Coturnix japonica: one gene and its partners. The protein of the gene in region 1 purifies or fractionates together with the protein of each later gene. This does not show direct contact. Links are inferred from orthologs where the notes say so. Each region holds a gene or a part of one and is shown in the gene's direction. Other genes may lie near its edges.

Evidence for each region.
Region 2: the proteins of DNAJB6 (region 1) and BAG3 purify together in Homo sapiens (co-immunoprecipitation; 3 studies listed by BioGRID and IntAct, with this or other methods). This does not show direct contact. The link is inferred for Coturnix japonica from reciprocal best matches to the Homo sapiens genes DNAJB6 and BAG3.
Region 3: the proteins of DNAJB6 (region 1) and BAG2 purify together in Homo sapiens (affinity purification with mass spectrometry; 4 studies listed by BioGRID and IntAct, with this or other methods). This does not show direct contact. The link is inferred for Coturnix japonica from reciprocal best matches to the Homo sapiens genes DNAJB6 and BAG2.
Region 4: the proteins of DNAJB6 (region 1) and MLF2 purify together in Homo sapiens (affinity purification with mass spectrometry; 3 studies listed by BioGRID and IntAct, with this or other methods). This does not show direct contact. The link is inferred for Coturnix japonica from reciprocal best matches to the Homo sapiens genes DNAJB6 and MLF2.

Annotation. Positions count from the first base shown.
Region 1 is NC_029517.1:7,735,089-7,738,648, forward strand, and holds part of DNAJB6 (dnaJ homolog subfamily B member 6), read left to right. Parts: intron 1-2,723; coding exon 2,724-2,855; intron 2,856-3,436; coding exon 3,437-3,560. UniProt on the Homo sapiens protein: Has a stimulatory effect on the ATPase activity of HSP70 in a dose-dependent and time-dependent manner and hence acts as a co-chaperone of HSP70. Plays an indispensable role in the organization of KRT8/KRT18 filaments.
Region 2 is NC_029521.1:26,988,881-26,993,113, forward strand, and holds the start of BAG3 (BAG family molecular chaperone regulator 3), read left to right. Parts: upstream 1-1,374; 5' UTR 1,375-1,447; coding exon 1,448-1,618; intron 1,619-4,233. UniProt on the Homo sapiens protein: Co-chaperone and adapter protein that connects different classes of molecular chaperones including heat shock proteins 70 (HSP70s), e.g. HSPA1A/HSP70 or HSPA8/HSC70, and small heat shock proteins (sHSPs), e.g. HSPB8.
Region 3 is NC_029518.1:79,192,630-79,196,919, reverse strand, and holds the end of BAG2 (BAG family molecular chaperone regulator 2), read left to right. Parts: intron 1-2,144; coding exon 2,145-2,254; intron 2,255-2,857; coding exon 2,858-3,258; 3' UTR 3,259-3,764; downstream 3,765-4,290. UniProt on the Homo sapiens protein: Co-chaperone for HSP70 and HSC70 chaperone proteins. Acts as a nucleotide-exchange factor (NEF) promoting the release of ADP from the HSP70 and HSC70 proteins thereby triggering client/substrate protein release.
Region 4 is NC_029516.1:69,478,744-69,482,823, reverse strand, and holds the start of MLF2 (myeloid leukemia factor 2), read left to right. Parts: upstream 1-1,247; 5' UTR 1,248-1,402; intron 1,403-1,540; 5' UTR 1,541-1,566; coding exon 1,567-1,616; intron 1,617-3,109; coding exon 3,110-3,236; intron 3,237-3,318; coding exon 3,319-3,354; intron 3,355-4,080.

The DNA of each region.
Region 1 (3,560 bases):
ACCTGATTAAAGTGAACAATATCCAGTAGTACCTTAAGGTCCAGCATTTTGGCTTTATGATGTTTATCAATTGCACAGTATATTGTATTTTCCATTTTTGGAAGGGCCTTCACTCGTGGTAGCACAAATTACACCAAAATTCTTATTGTAAGAGGAGTCATTCAAACAAAACCCCCCAATATTTTGCTATTAGCTTCATTTGAACCATTTTGGAGAAGCTGTCTATTTGAAAAGGTTCTCATGCATTTGAAAGGTGGTGCTAAATCATAAAAATAGAGCTGCCAGGCTGAGATGTTATTATTGTGCTGAGTGGGACTATTCATCATCCTGATTTACAGCCTAAAATCATAAACAGTGCCTGAGCAGTTGTGGGGTTGCTTTATGCGTGTGGATGTGGTGGTGGATACAACAAATGATGGTGCAGAAGCTTCCTGCTGCCATCACTGCTCAGTGTTTTTTGGCATTTTTTTCTCTGTACTGTACTTGAATGGCTGTCAGCGCAGCCATGAGGAGAGAATATTGCCTTGGAAAAGCTCCCCATGTCCCTGCCTTGTGAGTTTTCTTGCTGAGGATTCAGCAATCAGTTGCAATCAGGTTTCAGCATGTAATTTATTGGAGAGAATTACTGGCAGAACATGGGAGGTTTATTAGCAGAACTGCAATCTGGAATCACCTGAGGCTGGAAGTGGAGTAAAGACTTCAGGTTTTTTTGGTGTGTAGGGTTGCCAAAGGCTGAAATAGAGCACACCCAAGTGTAGGTTAGGCAAGGAGTAGGCAGTGATGCGTTTACAGCTGTGTTGACAGTGGGGATCTCTGGGGGATTCTGGGATCTCCCATAAAACCGTCATTTTTGGCTGCTGCTTTGTGGGAGAGTCCCCTGTAGAACAGGCTGATAGAGTGGGGGGATCGTATACTCAGAGCTTACATGGCAGGTTGTTTTGTTTCTATTCAAACTCCAGGTAACAGGAAAAATTGAGCTATTAATAGAAAGCTTAACAGTGAGAGTAATATAATATAGATCATTTGTACACGTGAGTGAATGACCTTCATAACTAACTTCTGAGTCACCCAAGCAAGAATATATTAGGCTTCAAAACAATTAACTGCATTGGTTTGACTTACCAGCTGATAAACTATCTTGGGGAGAGGGTGTGGGGGGGAAGCAGCTTTAAAAAGAATGGTTACAGTACTTGTTTGGGAAATGCTAACCATAGTTATAGGTTCCCATGTTGCTATGCCCAAGAACTGGTTTGGTTTGTAATGTTTTAAAGATAATAACAGATTATCTTGAGGTAAAAAATAGCGCAGGAGCACAAAAACAAAAAAGCATGGAAACAAGGAAACTTAGTCATTGCTTGGTGGCGTGGGTAAGATAAAAGCTTGGTCCTGCCTTTTCTATTTAATAACTGTGTAAGCTAGGGTTGTTTTTGTTGTTCCTCGCATTTTCTATCTTCCCTAGTGGAAATATGTTTTTGGACCTTAGGAGCTTTATTTGTTCAGCCTTAAATACAATGTGACTCTTCTGTAAATGAATCACGTGTGCTAAGTAGTAATTTTTATTACCAGATTGATTGCTTTAGAGATGTCACCAGTGAGTTTACTTGGTGATGTAGAATGCACCAGCTTGGGCTTTTGTGCTGATACCAGGAGTGGGCTAATCTTTTATCTGTTAATCTGTTAATCATCCTGTTTGATGAGTTGAAGTTCTTGAACTTTGGAGTTTAAAATAAGAAATATATATGTTGAGTATGTGTTACGTGATTGAAATCTAAAGCTCTTTGTTTGAAGAGCGTTAGTAAAAATCTTTTCAGATAGCCACAGTAATGTCTGTATTTTAGGAAAGCTTGATTGCTTCTAAGTAAATAGGGATATTCTTGCACAGGTGTTTATGTACATATATGAAATCATACATAAACAAAAATGTGTTAGGTGGACATTTTTTATATGTATATAATATCTATCTTTAGAAAGAATCTATTGCTCTGCTAATGGGAATGGAATTGATAACTGCTGCTGACGTAACTGTTGTGTGTGAATTTGACATAATTTTTTCCACGACACTCTCTGTTTTTCACCTTTTTCTCCTGCTTGATGGTGTCTGAACGTCTCTTCATAAGTTTGTGCACAGTGTCCTGTAATTTACTACTTAAATCTGCACCAGAATAAATGTTTAAAGTACCTAATGTGGCAAGGGCTAAAATAAACACAGAGTAGTTGAAATTTGAGTTATTGTTCAGTCATTGATTGGGCTTTTTATATTTCTATTATTGACACAAACCGTTTGGAAGTTACTTTTCAGAGACCCCATAGTGGTGGAATGCAATAGATCTGAAACAGCAGTAAGCTGTGGGCAGTATTTATGTCCAATATTGTAAACACTGTTAAGTTCTGAGATCTTAATTTTTCCACAGTGTTACTCCTTACTGCTGTGTAGAGATCGTGATAATGCATCTGATGAGTTCTAAATCTGACAAATACTGAGTGGACACAGTCAAGTTGGTATTTATTTGCAGTTCTTTTATCGTGATACCCAGTCAATTATGCTGTGTGAGCATCTGAAATAAGTAAACTTCTGTTATAACTCTTACTATGCTGAGACATTACAGTAAGTTTACTGTTGTTTTAATACTAAATGGCTAAAATGATAAGGAAATCAATTGCTTAGAATTGTAATTCTATATGTGAGGTGAGATTAACCTCTTTAAATGTCTTTTGTTTTGTAGAAGATCCTTTTGAGGACTTCTTTGGGCGCAGACGGGGTCCAAGGGGAAGCAGAAGCAGAGATGGCGGATCATTTTTCAATGCCTTTGGTGGATTCCCTGCTTTTGGAAGTGCTTTTCCTTCATTTGACACAGGTAAATAGTGTAGCATTTAACAAAGAATACTTTTGTCTCACAAAGGATTTCAGTGTGGTAAGCAGATAAATACTTTTAAAAGTTGCCTTCATTCAGGAAATTGTGAGACTGATATTCTGGGAATTTAGTCTGCTTTCTAAAAAGTCTGAATGTAAATAAAACCTTTGTTATAGTATTTGGTCTACTTGAAAGTTGATAAAAAGTGAACAGACCTCTAAGACTACGTTGCAGTTGTTTATGGCTTGAGAATAGTTTTGGTTCTGTTTGTCCTTGAGCATTGGTGTGACTGTGTTAAGTTTTGGGAAGCACCCTGGGAATATTGTGTTTTGAAACTTGTGGTACTATTTAGAACGAGTTCTGGAATAGTTAATTTGAATGGTGAGGTCTGTGTCTCAGAGCTTTTTGAGAGTTTATGGTAGTTAGTATTGTTTCAAGTGTTAAGACTGAATATTAGTTGGGATGTTTGCAATACAAAACTAAAGCTAGGAGGTGGTCTGATTAGCTGATAAATTTGAAGATCACAGTCATGCAAAATTATGTCTTTAGTCAAATAATTGTCACGTTAACATTTTCCCCGATAGGTTTTACTTCATTTGGCTCGCTGGGACACGGAGGCATTGCTTCGTTCTCCTCTACGTCATTTGGTGGTAGTGGGATGGGAAACTTCAAATCAGTATCAACCTCAACTAAAATAGTTAATGGCAG
Region 2 (4,233 bases), on another chromosome or scaffold:
CCAAATAAAATCAATCACTCAGATGCCTTCCCTTCTCAGTCCATGCTCATCTCCGCATGATACTGCAGCCACAGGATCTGCTCCTGCAGAAGAAGCTTGGGCAAATTCTGACCTATCAGACCATGATAATTTTGGTGAGATTTCCTGACCTGTTTCTCAGCAAGGCACAAACTCACAGCCACATTTAACTTATGTCTCTTAGCTACTACCCTGAATTTTCCTCTTATTTCCAGCTTTTTTATTAACTCTGCTAAGTATGTGGCTATCAGCTACAGCAAAACAAAGCTTTTCAAACAAAGAGATCCTTGAGACAAATATTGCAAAGGCAAAGATGGGAGGGCTGTGGGAAGGGCAGCTGTACCTGGGGTTTATCAGGCCCAGCACTGCTGGCCAGGCGAGGAAAGGGGTTCTCCTGCTCTGCATTGCAATGCTGTGTCCTCACATCAAATACTTCCAAATTGGGATATTCTATGGCTCTAAGGAAGGAACAAGGCTGAGCAATTGTCGCAATAAACAAACCCCACTGTCAGAGGATGGATGAGTGTCAGTGTCAATCAGCGTCAGCCCAATCTGTGACCCTGCCCTGAGCTGACAAGGTTCTGACCATCCCCAGGGTGTGCACAGGCAGCTCCTCTGAAATGAGGCACGTGGGTAATGAACGAATGCACACCTCAACCTCTTCGGAGCAAGCAGCTTTGCAGCAGACAATGTCTGCTCTTCAGGGGCTCGGCATTGACTCTGCAGGGTAAATAACTGTCAATAGGCGCCTGGGGCCAAGTGGATCTGTCAGATGGCTGCAGGTGCTCGCTGCCAAGTGGTGTAACCCACTGCCAGCACTCAGAGATGGGGGACAGGCTGGTGCTCACACAGACACTCTACATTCAGATGTTTGCCAGCATCAGTGAATCCAAAGGCTGAGACACGATCAAAGAGTCGATTCTGAAGTACAGTGCCTGTCCACACTGCAACTCTGAAACAGACATTATTTGTGCTGTTTGCCAGGGCTGGACACACATAACCTTAACCCATCAGAAAGGACGAAGTTCCTGGCTTCTCGTTCCGTTGGACCAGAATCGCAGAATCACCGGCTCGGAGCAGGAGCTGTCAGAGCGGTGTCAGACGGTGTCAGAGCGCTGTCAGAGCGGTGTCAGAGCGGGGACATTCAGGCACTCGGCGCTGCTCCCCCAGCCCGCACCCAGCTCGTCTGTCCCAGCCGGGTCTCCCTGCCATAACCCCGCACCACACTGGAGGCCACCAGAAGTTTCCAGCCGGGCCGGGCTCGGCCGCCTCCCTCCTCCCCGTCCCTCCCCTTTCCCCTCCTCCGCCGGCCGGCGCCGATTTCCAGACACTTCCAGCCCCGCGCCTCCGCCCCCCCGCTCCCCGCGGCGGATAAAGCGGCCGGGCCCGGCCTCCCCGCCCCGCACTCGGCGCATGGCCCGGATCCGGCATGAGCGCTGCCACGCACTCCCCGCTGCTCCAAACGGAGAGCGGCTCCGAGCCGCTGCCGCCCGGCTGGGAGATCAAGGTGGACCCGCAGACGGGCTGGCCTTTCTTCGTGGACCACAACAGCCGAACCACCACCTGGAGCGACCCGCGTCTGCGGGGCGACGCGGCCAAAGTACGGCGGGGGGTGCGGGGCTGCGCTATGGGGCAGGGGGTGGGGGGGGGGGTTGGAGGGAGGTGGGGGCCCGGCGCTGGGCTGGGGGCTGCCGGGGCCAGGCTGCGGCTCAGCGCGTGGCAATGCAGTGAGGCCAGGAGCTGCCTTTTGTCTCTGACGCACTGCAGTCCCTTTTTTGTGCATTAAATCATCCGATACCTCGGCTCCGGGGTGTTTATTTAAAGTTGGTGAAGTGAACCCGGCCGGCCCGGGGAAGGCTGGGATGGGTTTTTTTCGGCTGCAAATGAGCCGAGGCGACGTACAGAGCTTCAAAGTGACGCGGCTCAGACTTGTCAAGAGTTTTAGGGTTTTTTGTTGTCTTGGTCTCGTTCCATACTCCGTCACTTCGTTGTGTTGTGTCTGTAAGTGCGCTCAGAGAAAAGCTGCATCTCAGTCCTAATATGTCCATGGCTGCGGGCAGCGGCTGGGAGCCGGTGGGACCCGCAAAGTGGCTTTTCGGAGCCCAACTCTGAGCCTTCAGAAGTTGCGCCGTGTGACCCGCCTTAGTATTAACGCGGTGACTGAAAAGAAAGTGCTGGAAACTTGAGCTGCACCGCGAGTTGCCAGAGTGGTGGAAAAACAAATCCTGGGGGGTTTTCTTGCATTTCTCTGCAAGCAACGCTGCTTTCTTTCAGCCCGGGTACGGCCAACCTCGCGGCTTCGCCTTTAGTTCTGCAACCCCATAAAATGGGCAATGATGAAGCATAATATCGCGGCTCCTGTGGAGGATTTCTGTCCGTCCTTGCGACCTAAAATGTCGCCCGTTGCCGCCGTTAGGACGAGGCCCAGGATCGCTCCGTGCTGGACCCTGGCCGCCGCTGCTCGGAGCGGTGCTGGAAGGGATCGCTTGGACTGTGCGGAGCCACGGCTGGCCCCGAGCCCAGCGCCGGCTCTCAGCTGCCAGGCCCGGCTCCGTCCTGCTGCAAGTCAGCTGGAACAGCCCAGCTGCTCCCTGGACGTGGTGCGCGTGGAGCTGGCAGCCTCCAAGTGCTTTGATCACGGTGACGCGGCCCAGCGAGCGCTGACTGTGGCCATTGCTTCGCCGTCCTGTCGGGGAGAGCCGGCAGTGCTGGGAGGAATCGGGGCTGCCATCTTAGGCAGAGCCCCTTCCCTGGGAAAAGCAGCCTCTGGTGTGGCACGTGGCTCACGTGGAGCCAGTGGAAGATACTCAGTAACTCCAAAATGTATCTTCGATGTAACTGATACAGTTTTTATTCCCCTCCCCACCCAAGGAGTCTTAAAGGATTAAAGCGCAAAAGAGCATTTTGAGAAACATTAAGTTCTTACATTGAATTGCCCATTTTATGAGCGCAGATCAGCTCAGTGTGAAAGCAGACAGAGCTCACACAGAAGTGAAGGGGCTGTGCTTCTCCTTCTCCCCACTGCTCCAGCCAAGTGATGTTGTGCAGTTGCACTCACAGATACAAAGTGCTGTTTGGAATGGAAGAAATGCATTGTGCCAGTTACAACATAGCCTTTCACCCCCTTTTTCCACTCAATTATTGATTATATAGTTCTGGCAGTAATGGTAGATCTTGTTTGATGTAGTTTGGTGATGTGAATGTTGAGAGTACAATAGGGAAAAGTGCTTTAACTCATTTTTGGCTACTGACTTCCTAGTGGTAATGAGACACCTACTAACATGGGCTGTTATGGCAATAAAAATATGCTTTTTAGAGCCATAAAGCATAGTCAAGTCGAAAAGCATGCATTTATTCAAGGCTTTTGTTATGGAAATAGCACTTGAAAGTAACTCGTTTAAGGGAGAAATCACATTTAAGCTGCATTTGATAATTGTATAAAAAACAGGTTTTGAAGTGCTCTAATGGATCAGTGCTGGTTTTGAGTGGGTGACTGAAACAAAACAAGTTTTCATCCCTATCTGATGTTAAATCTGTGGTAATAAAAAGTGGCTCCTCTCCTGCCAACTTGGAAGTGTTACTACAGGCAGAAAGAGCTGTGCCTCTTTTCAGCTCTTTTTGTGGAATTCACTTGTTTTCCAAACAGAAACACCTGTCACCGCTCACTACAAGCAGGAACAGCTTTGGGACTGGTCACAGAGAAATACTTCCAGGGATAGTATTGGAAGGTTGAGTTCTCAGTTCCCTCCTTCTTAGTCTGCCTTCAGTGAGAGTGATCAGGAGTGATCAGAGAACTGCAGAAGCCAACCTTGTGTCAGACCATGTCTCATTAAGGATGAAAACACAGGCAAAGTTGTACTGACTGTACTGATGAAATCAGTGATTTTGTTGATCCCTTTTATGTTAGTCTCTATAAATCCTTATTCTCTTTATAAATCCTTGTTCTCTCTCCAAATATTCCCTCTTCACAGAGATATAGGTAGAACATGAGCTGTTGCTCAGAGAGCAGAGCGCAGGTCCAAAGCTGACTGACTTCTTTTAGCTGATCAAACAGGCTGTGGCATGGCAAGGTGCTGCATTTCCCCTACAGCTCATCTTGATCTTCCTGCTCTAGATTTGCCAGCAGTGTAACCATGCTGACTGCATTAACTGTACCTGTATAATCAGGCAGAAAGAGAAACGGCTCCTGTAAAGTGTGAATCCATGGGAGTTTGT
Region 3 (4,290 bases), on another chromosome or scaffold:
ATTTCTCAGGCTGATGACTGAACTCCAGAACCCAGCCCTGCGTGTTTCTGAGTGAAAGCTCACAGGTTCTCATGGTCTGGCCCTCTGGTGCTGCTGGGTGGAGCCTATAAACAGGAGGGGAGTCAACTCTTTGAAAGGGCAGATAACTGCAGGACAAGGGGAAATGGCTTTAAGTTGAAGGAGGATAGATTTAGGCTGGCTGTCCGGGGGAAGTTCTTTACTATGAGAGTGGTGAGGAGCTGGAACAGGCTGCCCAGAGAGGTTGTGGATGCCCCATCCCTGGAGGTGTTCAGGGCCAGGTTGGATGGAGCCCTGGGCAGCCTGTTGTAGTGTTAAATGGGGAGGTTGGTGGCCCTGCCTGTGGTGGGGGGATGGAGCTTCATGATCCTTGAAGTCCCCTCCAACCTGGGCCATTCTGTCATTTCCTCAGCAGTGGTGCAGGGAGCCAGCTGGGGATCAAGTGCTGGGCGCCCTGCAGGTTTGTCACAGCTGATTTAGTTATAAACTTATGTCAATCAAAGGTGTGATTGGTCATTGTTTTTGGTACACAGTCGTTGTCTCTGACAGTCTGGCTTTGTAGGCCATGAACTGGTAGCTTGATCTTGGACGCAGAGCTGGTAAGAGCCACGGGTCAACCTGCGCACTGAGGGCAGACCTTTGCTTTTGAGTCAGGGCAGTGCCAGACTTGAGTTGATGTAAAAATGCTGTTAAAAGTGAAATTTTGCACTTGTTTCAGCTTTCTGGGGACCAAAATGGACTTTCCAAATGGTGACAGTGCTGGTTTTTTTTAAAGGCACGGCGAGGCACGTATGAAAATTCTGCTAGACTTCCTAAATTATAAAGTGCTGACATCTGAAGTATGAAGTGGCTCCACCTGCCCTTATTACTCTTACTAACCCATCCAAAATAACAATTAAGAATATTTGCTCCTGGCAAGAATTTGCATTGCATTAACTTTTCCCATTCCTCCTCACATTAACATGAAAGGGAGGGCCTGAAGCGTGTGGTTTCACTGGGGAACTCAGCCTAAAGATTTCGTCAAACAGAGCCATTCCTTGAGCTCAGCGTGCGTGAGGCGTGTGGGTACTGAAGGCCCTGAGTTCCTGGCCCCACCTGCCTTCTCCCTTTTCCCAGCACCACCACGGAAGAGCACTATAAAGCAAGGAAGAAGAATGAACTGGAGAGTTAGCAGTGCTTCGGTTTGCTTTCGCTTTCTGGACAGACTTAATGAATATACCAGGCCGGGTGCATTCCCTGCCTGTTTGCAGCATCAAGGTCTCTGAGCTGTGTTGAAAGCATCCCAAGCCATTGGCCAGGTTCATGTGATGCTTTGCTTGGACTTGGGATCTCTCCAAGCACCCAGCAGGCGCAGTCAGGAAGGTGCCCCTCCTGCCCCTTCTCTCCTAGGCAGCTGTTCCCCTTGTGCTGCTCTAGGTGACACTGCTCTGAGCAAAAGCCCTCTCCTAAAAGCCGTGGCAGGGAAGAAGCCATGGGTTGTGGGTGAAGAGTGGCAACGCAGCAGCACACAGCTGGGCAGCTCTCTGGCTGAACAGCTCATGGCACAGTGTTGCCCCGTGCCTGACCCCTTGGCAGCAGTGTGCCACGTGTCAGGTTCAGCACAGTGAGTTGTGCAGGGAAAGGGTCTGATTTCAGGATAGCTCAACTGCGTGCTTTCCTGCAAGCCCAGAAATAGGAGCTGACCAGAACAGAGCTTCATCCTCTGTGAGTCACAGCCTCCTGCCAGTTTGCTGCATCTTTATGGAGAGAAACAAACCACAGCGACGTGAAAGCAGGCGCTTGGCAGGACTACCCATAAAGGCAACAAAACATGCTCACCTTGCCTGTCTGTCCCATTCTTCTCACATTACAAAGGAGCTGGTTGTTTTCTATCTATTGGCTCATGTATTCAGTTTTAGAATGATTTTGTGTCTTGAAAGATTAAGTTTTTATGTAGGTGGGGGTCATGGAGTCAGAATGTCTGGAGCACAGATACTTGCAAGCTGACTGCACTTGCAGTGGGGCTCTTTTGTTGATTTTTTTTTTTTTTTTTTTTTTTTTTTTGTTTAATTGAAAGATCTTGGCAGTTTTATGGGGGAAAATGTGTTTTATTATTGAAAGACTTTGTTTGGTTTAACTACGCCCAGGGTAGAGGCTTTCCGTGACGCAGCATCTGCTATGGAACAAGAAAAAGAAACCCTGCTAGAAATGATCCACAACATACAGAACAGCCAGGACATGAGGCACATCAGTGAAGGTGAGAAGCTGCTTTGCCATCCCCTCCTGTCTGCCCTAAAAGCAGACCAGCAAGGGGAGCTGCTCCAGTGCTAAAGGCACCATGCTGGAGCTGGCAGAGGATACCGATGGGCCTTCCCTCCCTCTGGGGTCCCCGTTTCCTTTTTGCTAATGGCCTCTAACTGCATCTGGTAAGCAAAGTAACTCTTCTGTCTGTGGCCTTTCGAGGTGCCGTGTATTTATACTCTTTCTCACAGCAGCATTGAGGGTCCATCCCTCACGTGCCTGCTTTTGTAATGATCAATGCTTCCTGATATGGTGCTTTACTGCAGTGTGACAAAACAAGCACTGTGTCAGCAGTGGAAAAACATCGCTTATACCTTTCTTAAAGCTTACAGCCTAATTTCAGATCAGAAGACACCAGCCTCTGTGACATGGGTGGGACTCAGGCACGTAGATGTAAAACCTCTGGCCCCTGAAAATCAATCTGATTGTCACCTCTTAAAAAGAAAAGAAACAACAGACATCCATGTTGGCACACGGTAGCACTTTGCTTGTCTTGGTGATGTAAAGGCACTGGGAGGTGTTAGTCAGTAACACAGGATACCTTCTGCTTTCGCTTTAGGTGAGAGAGAAGAACTTAACCTGACTGCCAACCGTCTGATGGGCCGAACCCTCACTGTGGAGGTTTCTGTTGAAACCATCCGTAACGCCCAGCAGCAGGAGTCCCTCCTGCACGCCACCAAGATGATCGATGAAATCGTCAACAAGCTCCTGGATGATTTGGAAGACGCCAAAATCCGCTTAATGTCGCTTTACGGCGCGTGCACGTCTGATGTGCCGGCAGGACCCATTGATCAGAAATTTCAGTCCGTTGTCATTGGATGCGCTATCGAGGATCAGAAGAAGATCAAAAGAAGGTTAGAGACTCTGCTCCGAAACCTGGAGAATTCTGAGAAGTCCATCACGTTGCTGGAGCATCAGAAATCCTCGATGAGGCAGCCTTGCATCACCAAACAGGATTAATCTGCCTCGTGGCTACTTCTGGCAAACCACAGAGTGATCCAGTTCTCCATAAAAGCACACAGAAGCTATAAGGAAAATCTCTGTTTACAAGTACACGCATATATACGCATACACATGCACCACGGTATCTTGGATTGCAAGGTGCAGGCATTCTATGGGTTGCGGTAGCATTGGCATTTTGTTTCAGCAATAAGGAATGCTATCATGATTTCTTCTGTAGAGTTGATGCTGCTCTGTTGCAAGTTGTAATGTGCTTCTGCTGAACTGTCAGAATCGATCAGAATCTTGCCTGTCCTCCATTCTCCTCCTTTTATAGAAAAAAACAACTGCGGTTGTTTGGTCATATACTGCGATACCAACTTTTCTCTGCTCTATACATAGTGTGTGAAATAGACTCTTGGGGGAAAAAAAAAAAAGACAAATCATGGCAATAAACAACAACAGCAACAACAAATCAATAAACTGCATATTGTATTTTCATAAACAACACAATGTTTTACTCTTTACTGTGTTGTTCATCATCCTTAGAAGAGAATGACAGATCCTGTGTGTGTCCAAAGAGGCTCAGAGCCCCCACTGAGCAGCCTGTTGTTCTGCTGTTAGTTCACTGAAGGGCAGCATTCTGCTGGTGCTGCAGGGGGCTGCGCTGCTCAGCCCTCACCTGACCTCCAATTGAAGCTCAGCTGTTGGCGCTGTGGGAGGGAAGAGCAGCGCGGGCAGCTGCAGCACCCTGCGTGCGAGGAAGCCTCCACACCTGCAGCAGATTTCTTGCAGTGCCCACCTGAGCTGGGAGCTCATCTCAGGTCCATCTGCACAGCCACCGAGCTCTGCGTCTCCAACCTGTGCCATACGCACGGTGTTGGGACCGCTGCTCTGTGCTTTGGGAGCTTCCAGCACTGCAAGGGCATCGCTGCTGCCATGCATGGGCAGAGATGGAATTGAGATGGGGACCTCCACAGCCACCACATCTTCAGCTATGAGGCTGTGCCTGCTTCCCAAGAGTAATTATAACAATATACATGAGAGGTTCTT
Region 4 (4,080 bases), on another chromosome or scaffold:
ACCTCTTCCTTCCCCCTGTGGGTGCTCCAGTTCTCAGGGCTCACAGTATCACAGAATGACCCGGGTTGGAAGGGACTTCAAGGATCATGTAGTTCCAACCCCCCTGCCTGGCAGGGCCACCAAACATACACCTTTACTAGATCAGGCTGCCCAGGGCCCCGTCCAACCTGGTCTTGAACACCTCCAAGGACGGGGCATCCACAACCTCCCTGGGCAGCCTGTTCCAGGGCTCAGTCTTGCTTCTTCCTATTCACACTGTATCCTCGTTGCAGCTTCTACTCCGATCAGTAGATTGTGAACTTTGGCCGCATACCTGTATCCTTCTGTTTTAAACATAGCGTTTATTTACCCACGCCACGTGATATTCAGTTTGCTTTGAAAACGCTGTGGTTGCCCCTTTGGCTGAGTGCGCAGCTAACAGCGCTGGGGACGTTAGGGGGAGGGATGCTGAATGGCAGCGAGTCAGCAGCAGAAGGTGGAGCTCAGGGCAGTGGCATCACTCCTCGCTTCCATTTTGCCCTTGGCTCAGCCTCTCCTCTTCCCCCATTCTCCTCTGCCTGGACTGCTTTAAAAAAGGAAGGGAGGCAGTGTGGGTAATGGCTTTGATTTATGACAGATTCTGCGTTTCTAACAAGGGGGAGCTTGTCTGTGTTGCTGGGGCTTCAGCCACCAGTGAGCCAGATTTGCTTAACTGGTAACATTGCTGGTAACATAGGTTACATAGGTTACATAGGTTACATATAGGTTACAGTGTGCACTCCTGCTCTGTGTTGGGGAGGCAGTAATGCCTGATGCTGTGTATGGAAGCAGCTTTAGGAGCCCTGCCATGTCTGGGGGTGGGATGGCTGCTGGGATCCGTGGAAAGCAGGTCATTTTATCGCAGCCTTGCTCCCAGTCCCATAAATAACGCTTCCATTCTTGCTCTCTCCCTGCCCGTCTGCACACACCCAATGCACCACGTGCCCGCCCAGGGTTGAACACGCCGAGCAGGAAACGCTTTTCCATGCTGGAACAGTCAGACGTGTGACTGAGGCTCACGGAGGGGGGCAGTGATGCCTTGGTGGTGTTGGCAGCGGCTCCGGGTGAGTGTCGGTGCCCACGGGTGCGCTGTGAGCTGGCGGCCCGCTGCCATAGAGCAGCATAGCGGCGCTCGGGCCGCACTGACCGCCAGGGGGCGCTGTGCCCCGACACGGGCCCGAGCGCCGCTTCCTGCCCGGCGAGAGCGCACCGACACACGGCGCTGTGCGCGCATGCGCGGGGCGAGCCGGCTGGAGCGGAAGGGGTGAGCGGGCTGCGAGCCGCCATGGGAGCACGGGAGTGAGCGGCCCGTGTGTGCATCCTTCTGCTCTTCGTCTTCTTCCTGCCGTCTGCCCCTCGGCACCGCACGGAGAAGGGGCACAAGGTGGGGGCGAGCCTGGGGCCGGGGGGGGTGGTAGTGGTGGTGGTGGGGAGGTGAGGTGCGGGTCTGGGGGCGGCCGCCTTTGCGACGTGCGGCCTGCTCAGCGCTTCAACCTCCATCCCTCCATCCCTCCCTCCTTAGAGCCCGCCCCCGGCCAGGGCAGCAGCATGTTCCGGTTGATGAGGGACGGCGAGCCCGAGGATCCCATGTTCGCTATGTGAGTCGGCTCGAGGGGCCGGGGCGCTGCGGCACGGCCTGCACGGAGGGGAGGGGGGTCATGGGGGGATGGGAGCGGCCTGTTTCGTGCCAGCCGAACCACTGTGGCTTTGAGGACACATTGAATAAAGTAGGCCAAATACACTGTGAGTGTGTGAGGAAAGCAGCGCTGGAGCGCCCGACCTTTTGTATGTTTGGTGGCCCTGTGTATGTTTGGTGGCCCTGCCAGGCAGGGGGGTTGGAACTACATGATCCTTGAGGTCCCTTCCAACCTGGGTCATTCTGTGATTCTGTGTGATTCTGTGACCTTTAGCTGTGCTTAAGGATTGCTGCGTATAACGAGTAAGGTTTGATAACATCATCTGTGCCTGTTCGTTTCTACCCCGCCGAAGAATTCATTAGTGGAGCTGGAGGAGGCTGCTGAGGGAGCTGTCACGTTGTGAGGGACTAAATGAGGAGAATTCTAGGCGTTTTAAAACACAAGCCTGAAAACCTGATGTGGGTCCCAATGATGCTTTGCTTTGGGGTTCCTCTTACTGGTTGCTTTTATTTCTATCCCCTGCTCAGAAATGGGTTGCAACTGATGAGAGGTGGCGGTTGTTGCCAAAGCAGTTAAGGACAAGAGTGTTATATGGTAGGAGTTTGTATGAAGTGTGGCACTGCTATACATTAGTTACAATTAATATATGTAGGAAAACAAAGCCCTGCTCTTGCTTATAAAGTTGATTATAAGAATGTTATCAACCATAAACCAATGAGTAGGAGAGGAGACCTGGAAGTCTCAGTCACAGAGTGAGTGTACAGTTCTCACTGATGTGGCAGCTATGAGTCTCGCTTTTATTATGCAAAGTATTCCCAGCAGAAACAGGAAAGTATTGGGTTGTGCTCGGTGCTTTTGTGATCTCAGGAAATTACGTGCTGCTCAGGTTGTTTGTGCTCTGGAGGGATGAATGCAGAACTACCAGATGTGCAGAGAAATGCTGTGATGCTTCTCAGGCTCTTTAGCGTGGCTGCTGTTATTTGGGACTGTCCCTGTTCTACTTTTTCCCTCCTTGCTTCTCCAGCGTGTACAAGTATGTCCTTAAAGCAGAGGCTGCTAATGCAAAGAGTTTTGATGGCTCAAGAGGAAATGAGTATGAGATGATGGTAGCGCTTGGACTGCAGATCTTTTACCTTGTAGAGCAGTGAGGTTTTGGAGCTTGGCTCAAAAGTATTAGTGGGAACAGAGCATGGAGCTGGTGCTGAATAGACATTAGTTAGTGTGTAAGAGAGGTTCTGTGGCATAATACTTTCAGTCACAAGAGAAGAAATGGGATCCAGCCCTAAGGATTAGCATACGCAACACTGTGTGTGTTCTTGAGCTTCTGGATTTTCAGCTTAGAAAATACAGTCACAGTTGCATAAGAGAAACTCCGAGTCAGAATGTGTGTATTATACAGGACTCAGTGTTCTGTCATCCTTTTCTCACCACTGTTCTCTCAATCTTTCCCAAAGGGACCCTTTTGCTATCCACCGGCAGCACATGAACCGCATGCTTTCTGGAAGCTTTGGCTTTGGCCCGTTGCTTGGTATCACTGATGGGACCACGCCTGGGGCTCGCCAGGCTGGCCGTAGGATGCAGGTAAGAGAGGGGCTCTGAGGAGTATCTGGTGTTTGGCTGTTGCAAGATCATCGTTTATTCTGTTTTTCTGTTGTCTCAACAGGCGGGAGCTGTTTCACCCTTTGGGATGCTGGGCATGGTAAGTCCTCTGTTTTTCAGTGTCAAGTTTGAAGATAACTGGTTCCTCCTGCACTGCTATTCCTGAGTTGTATGGTTTTAGACCTTCCACTTCTCCTCATACTTCAGTGTAGTCTGTGGAGCTGTTTTAGAGGAGTCCATTTATACGGGCACCTTGAACAGAGGAGATCCATAAAGCTGTTACAGCATGGTATTTCATAGGAATTGAGATAGGTGATATCTAGGAAGAACGGAGGGTCTCTTAACCTCATGTGTCTAAGAAGAAGCTGTGGATCTGTTTGGAGATTGTTGTGAAACTGTGATGACACATGGAAAAGACTCGGCCGTCATTAGGCAGAGGCGGTAATTGAACTTCCTTTGAAAATGGTTGCAGAATGAAAAGCTAAAAGAGTAATTCAAGAGAACAGAATTGGAGTGAGAATTGCTGGATGTGTGGGAAAATGTTGTTCCTGGAGCTTGTTGATCTCAGTTATCTATTGTAGTAATACAGGGGAAATAAGTTATTCCAGATCCAGCAGCTTTAGGTGCCTTGCTCTGCGGGATTGACTCAATGAAGCATCCTGGAATCATTCTAGTTCAGAAAAGGATTAATAATACAAACAGTTGGACTTCAAAGGGTAATAACATTGCGTGTGAGTTCTGGTCTGCTCTAAACGAGAACAAGAAGCCACTTGAAGAAGGGAAAAAGGAATCAGTGCCTTTAAACTGACACAGTAATTTTGTTTAC